2 separate regions of the Mus musculus genome follow, and region 2 is reported to be linked to region 1. Evidence: microRNA targets listed by miRTarBase, many of them from high-throughput screens and not tested one by one. Region 1 holds a microRNA gene; the other region holds the end of a gene's coding sequence.
Evidence for each region. The annotated mature microRNA mmu-miR-466b-3p reads AUACAUACACGCACACAUAAGA and lies in region 1 at 2,054-2,075, shown strand. An mRNA with a match to its seed (bases 2 to 7 or 8) in the 3' UTR can be bound and repressed. Matches are read on the target gene's strand: a 7mer-m8 pairs with bases 2 to 8, a 7mer-A1 pairs with bases 2 to 7 and ends in A, and an 8mer does both.

Region 2: miRTarBase lists Marchf5 as a target of mmu-miR-466b-3p. Seed matches in the 3' UTR shown: 7mer-A1 at 1,871-1,877.

Annotation. Positions count from the first base shown.
Region 1 is chr2:10,486,886-10,490,156 of GRCm38, forward strand. It overlaps Mir466b-5 (microRNA 466b-5), which reads left to right and starts at 2,002; the gene lies at 2,002-2,089. The region is part of intron 10 of Sfmbt2 (Scm-like with four mbt domains 2); the gene reads left to right. It overlaps Mir467a-5 (microRNA 467a-5), which reads left to right and starts at 1,714; the gene lies at 1,714-1,796. Mir669p-1 (microRNA 669p-1) reads left to right here and starts at 2,231; the gene lies at 2,231-2,317.
Region 2 is chr19:37,221,134-37,224,252 of GRCm38, forward strand. Marchf5 (membrane associated ring-CH-type finger 5) reads left to right here. Exons shown (of 6, transcript NM_027314.3): 6 at 257-3,119. The coding sequence ends at 373. Among named protein-coding and RNA genes, the nearest start is that of Gm25268, 11 kb to the right of the region's middle.

The sequences.
Region 1 (3,271 bases):
TTCATGCTTAACTTCATTTGGAGACATCTTGGTATTAATGTCATGCAACCCATGTATGTGCATGTGTGCTTACTTGTATGTGCATTGTATGTGTTGACATGATATACATAACATAAACACACGTGTATATGCAAGCACACACACACAGGAAAAAATTGCATTCATTTATACGTTTGAATGATACGTGACTTAAAGTTTTCAAGATTATGCAGTAGTGGGACAGTGAATGGTTTTACTCACCAGGTGTGAAAGATTGTGGATCAGGAGTTCTAATTCATGCTTTACTTCATGATGACTTAGAGATATGCCTGGGATTCATGTGATGCCCCCTATGTATCCCTATCTGTATCTGTTTCTATTGTGTGTGGATTTGAGTATATGGATGTACCTATCTACACAAATATATACATGTACACAGACACAAACAGTAACACACACACAAACATGAATGCAACTCATCGATCCATTTGAATGATATGTGACTTAGAGTTTTAAGATTCCTCATTACTGAATGGGGAGAGGTCTCACTCAGCAGGAGAAATCCCTTGACAGAGTCAGGTGGATCAGGAGTTCAAATTCGTGCTGAATTTTGTGATGAGTTCATGATCAGCATGGGATTCATCTTATGCCCACCAAAAATGTGCATGTGTGTATAGTTGTGTGCATATTCACTTCTCTATATGAATATGCATATACACACATGCACACACATTCATAGGAATGGCCAGAGCTATGTCTCAGTTAGGAGGTGAGCACTCTTGTCAGTGTCAGGATGAGGAATTCAAATTTATGTTTAACTTCATGATGAGTTAGAGTTCAGCATGCGATTCATGTGATGCCCACCAAGAATGTGCATGTGTGTATAGTTGAGTACATATTCACTTCTGTACATGAATATGCATATACTCACATGCAAACATACTCCCACGAATGGCCCGAGCTATGACTTAGTTAGGAGGTGAATACTCTTGCCAGCATCATGAGGATGAGCAATTCAAATTCATGTTTAACTTTATGATGAGTTAGAGATCAGCCCGGAATTCATGTGATTTTCCCTGTGTTTGTGTTTATGTGTATAGGTGAAGTGTGCGTGTACATGCGCGTATATGAACATGCATATATATATATATATATATGTATATATATATATATATATATATATACACACACACACACACACACACACAACTAGGGAAACATACATGTGCACACAAACACACATGGCAGTCATCCTTTTGATTTATACGTGCTTAGAGTTTCATTGAGTGTATATTCATGGTATAGGGAAAAATCTCTCTTATCAGATGAAAACCACTTGCCAGAGTTAGGAGTCTCAGGAGTTCAAATTCATGCTTAACTTCATAATGAGTGAGAGATCACCCTGTTTTTGTGTGATGGACCCTAGGTATGCACAAGTGCATATAATTTTGTGTGCACGTACATGTGTTTATATGATCATACATATAAATACACACACATACAAATGTAGTCACACACACAGGCATGCACACTCACACAAATAAGAATGACACTCATTGATCCATTTGAATGATATATGTCTTAGAATTTTGCTGATTATAAAGTAGGACAGTGAAGGTCTCACTCACCAGGTGTAAACAATTGACAGTGTCAGGAGGATCAGGAGTTCAATTTCATGCTTAACTTCATGAGCAGTTAGAGATCATCCTGGAATAATGTGATGGCCCCTATGTATGTGCCTGTGTGCGTAAGTGCCTGCATGTATATGCGTGTATATTTTATGCATATACATACACACACCTACACACACATGCACACAGACATGCGGGAATGGCCCTCACGGATCCATTTGAATGATATGTGACCTACTGCTTTGGAGGTTATGTATGACTGGCCAGGGTGAGGTCTCACAAACCACGGGAAACCCTTGGTAGAGTCGGGAAGATCAGGAGTGCAAGTTCATGGTAAAGGCATGATGAGTTAGAGGTCATCCTGGCATTCATGTGATTGCCCCTATGAATATGTGTATGTGTTGATGTGTGTGTACATGTACATGTGTGAATATGATATACATATACATACACGCACACATAAGACACATATGAGCACACAGACACATGGGAATGGCACTCATCAATCCATTTGAGTGATAAGTGACTTAGAGTGAAAATGCTTGCTAGAGTTAAGAGTATCAGGAGTTCAAATTCATACTTATCCTCATGAGAGATCAGCCTGTGATTCCTCCATGTATGTGCATGTGTGTATAGTTGTGTGTGCATGTTCATGTCTATATTTGAATATACATAACATACACACACACACGTATAAACGCAAGCACACATACACAGACACAGGAATGGCATTCGCCAATCCCTTTGAATGATAAGTGATGTAGAGTTTTAGAGATTATGCAATAGGGGACATTGAATGGTCTCACCCACCAGGTGTAAAAGATTGACAAAGTCAGGAGGATAAGGATTTCAACTTCATGCTTAATTCAGTTAGAGATCATCCTGGTATTCATGTGAGGCCATCCATGTATGTGCATATGTGTTTACTTGTATATGCATTGCATCTGTTGACATGATATACAAAACATAAACAAACGTGTATATGAAAGCACAGACACAGAGAAAAAAATTGCATTCATTTATACGTTTGAATGATATGCGACTTAAAGTTTTAAAGATTATGCAGTACTGGGACAGTGAACGGTTTTACTCACCAGGTGTGAAAGATTGTGGATCAGGAGTTCTAATTCATGCTTTACTTCATGATGACTTAGAGATATGCCTGGGATTCATGTGATGCCCCCTATGTATCCCTATCTGTATCTGTTTATATTTTGTGTGGATTTGAGTATATGTATGTTCCTATCTACACAAATATATACATGTACACAGACACAAACAGAAACACACACACAAACATCAGTGCAACTCATCGATCCATTTGAATGACGTGTGACTTAGAGTTTTAAGATTCCTCAGTACTGAATGGGGAGAGGTCTCACTCAGCAGGTGAAGTCCCTTGACAGAGTCAGGTGGATCAGGAGTTCAAATTTGTGCTGAATTTCATGATGAGTTCATGATCAGCATGGGATTCATCTTATGCCCACCAAAAATGTGCATGTGTGTATAGTTGTCTGCATATTCACTTCTCTATATGAATATGCATATACACACATGCACACACATTCATAGGAATGGCCAGAGCTATGTCTCAGGAGGTGAGTACTCTTGCCAGTGTCAGGAGGATGAGGAGTTCAAATTCATGTTTAACTTCATGATGA
Region 2 (3,119 bases), not on the chromosome of region 1:
GGCATTCTCCTCTCTCTCAGTGTGTAAGAACTCCATGGGAAGAAAGCTACACAAGTGATGTAGGAACAGGGCCTCTTCCTTTGCTACTTGAAGCCTGCTCTTTCCCAACTTCTGCCCTCACAGAAGAGAATGTTTCACTTGTAATTATCAGCATTTACTTGGCTTCAAATCCTGTCTTTTGTGATAGGTGTAAAGTTCTTTTTCTTGTTTATCTGATCCTGCATTATAAAAACATTAATTTCCCTTTTTATTTTAGGGTGGAATTGCTTTTGTTGCCATAAAAGGAGCATTTAAGGTTTACTTCAAACAGCAGCAATATTTACGTCAGGCACACCGCAAAATCCTAAATTATCCAGAGCAAGAAGAAGCATAAAACTGACTTCTGGTTGTTCTGAGGCCTCTCATCCTGACGAGTCTGTTGTGTTCTGATTCCATCATTAATGCGCTAGTGGAGACTTGTGACGCTGCTCCTATATTCTAAGAGATACAATAAAGCACGCAGGGCCGGGGCAAGCCGCCCAGTAATCACGGACCTAAGGACACGCGTCAGCTCTGTCATTTGTATGTTCTACTTTTATGGCAGTCGGCTAAACCATTATTTTAGCATGGGAAACCTGAGTTTGTTCATATTTTTCCAGACAAGAATGTAAAGATAAAACTGTACAAACATTAAAAGTGGACATGTTTTATTCTGACGCCTCTTTTGTATATACTCAGTTCAGTGTTTTCTTAGGAATAGCAACTCGATGAAGGAACTGTGAGGGCTTTTCTCATTGGTGTAATTGATTGTATGCTACAAAGGAGCCTCTGTTAACAGGAGGAAGTGTAAACTAGTTCTGAATAAATAACAAACCCAGAAATGTATGTCAGCATTGAAGTGATTATCTGAACAAAAGAGATTTTGTTTTCTTTTCCTAAACCCATGTGACATCTCAGATGTGAAGGGTCAGTTTCCAGGGCTTCCAAAGCACTTTTTCACTATTAAACTTTATTTATGCAATGTTGACATCTCATAGTTCATAGTGTACTTTTGACTCGTAGTCGTCCTGTGTGTGTGGTGTGAGGGTGTGTGTGTGAGCGGGGAAGGGGACTTCAGAAAGAAGGTAGGAGGGAGGGAAGCAGAGGATAGTGATAGGGAAATGAGGTGGAAGGCCCTTTTATCACTTAGTATGTTTTTAAATTTGTATTTCTACAAATTAGAACTACTGATTCATAGGTTAAGCAGAGAACAACTTGCAAAAAATGATAATAAAATTATTGGGTTTCTGTTGATTCCGTTATTCAGATATTTGTTAACTGGCTCCCACTTACCTAGTCACTGTGCAGGTGCTATGGGATAGAGTTGGGGAACTTGTTCAGAGAGTCTGCAGTCTAATAGAACAAGCACTGATTGAACCCAAGGGAGCTCTTGAATATCAGTGAGGTAATTATGGAGTATTGATCAGGGTCATTGGTTTCCACTTTATCTGTTTATAGGATAGCCAATACTGTTTTTAGGGTATCTTGTTTTTGAATCAGGGTCTCTAGCATAGCTAACCTCAGACTTCCTGTGTATCTGAAGGTGGCCTTGAGCTCCTGATCCCTGAGCCTCCTAACTACAGGTGAGCACCACAACACCTGCTTTTCTAACTTAATGCTGTGGATTGAACCTAGGGCCTTACACATGCTAGGTATACACTACATCACCAGCCCTCCTTTTAGATTTTAGTTGTCATATTAAGGGGGCGATCTCCTTACTAGTCATTGTTTAACTAGTTTTATATTCATTGTTCAAAAGCAATTATTTAGGTCATGTTTAATAGTGACCATTACAATGTTCAGCAATCTGATTAGAATGAAAAATTTTTTTTAAAGATTTATTTATTTATTATATGTAAGTACACTGTAGCTGTCTTCAGACACTCCAGAAGAGGGAGTCAGATCTCATTATGGGTGGTTGTGAGCCACCATGTGGTTGCTGGGATTTGAACTCCGGACCTTCGGAAGAACAGTCGGGTGCTCTTACCCGCTGAGCCATCTCACCAGCCCCTAGAATGAAAATTTTTAAAGTTTAAAAAATAATGCTGTTCACAGTATATGATGCATGATAATGCTCCCCCTTTCTGCGAAATGGATACTTCTCTTTAGAAGTGTAACAAATATAGATTGAGCTGTGTTAGATTGTAAATAAATATTTTAGTAAAGACTGGTATCTTTCTCTAGGTTGGTTATCTCAGTTTTGAGTTTTACGGTGTCTGTGGGAATGACTCTTTTGAACATCCAGAGTTGTAATTATCTAGGGTATAAGGGGCAATTTGACTGAGTTAACCTTAACACTGCTGTTATTCTGTAGAGAAAATGTGAACCCTGATTATATATAAAAATAACTAAGATCTACAGCTGTAATTATGAAATTGGCTTCCATCATTGCCAGTGTGAAAATATATATATTCTGACATTTCCTGGATACTCCTGTTAAGTTGAGCAGCTTTTACACAGCCACAAGCCCTCAGCTCCCTGTGTACTACTTTAATTTCCGGGGTGGTGGTGGGGGGTGGGGAGCTGCTTGGATCGATCTATTGGCATCAAGGCCCGTGAAGGCAGAGGTTTATAGAGCTATGGGGAGGGAGCCACACTTGTCTGCAGTCCAGAGTGAACACTAGCCCTGCTGCATTTGAACACCACATGACAGGCCTCCCTGGAACCACAAATCAAAAGACATGGGCAGACTGAAAGCTGAATAGGTTACGTTGAGCTCCCATCAAGTTTTAGTAGCTGTAGTGTATAACCTTGGCCAGGTGGCTATTCAGCCACAGTTACGTTCATCTCTAAAATGCAAGTCACACCTAGACACTTTCTAGGATTTGGTTGAGAAAAGACAGGTACTTTCGGCCTCAGTAGCTCCTAAAGGTGGTCGTCCCATCTAGGACAGGGCAGTAACCAAGGGTAGGGCCCTCGAGGACAGAGCCAGCACAGACTTGAGGATTTGTGAGTATGCTGTTCTCCGATTTTCTTTCTTTTTCTTCCTTCCTTCCTTCCTTCCTTCCTTCCTTCCTTCCTTCCTTCCTTCCTTTCTTTTTGTCCTAGAAATGTCACATTTAAACCTTTTTTTAAAAAAATTAGAATTCAGTGATTAGTAA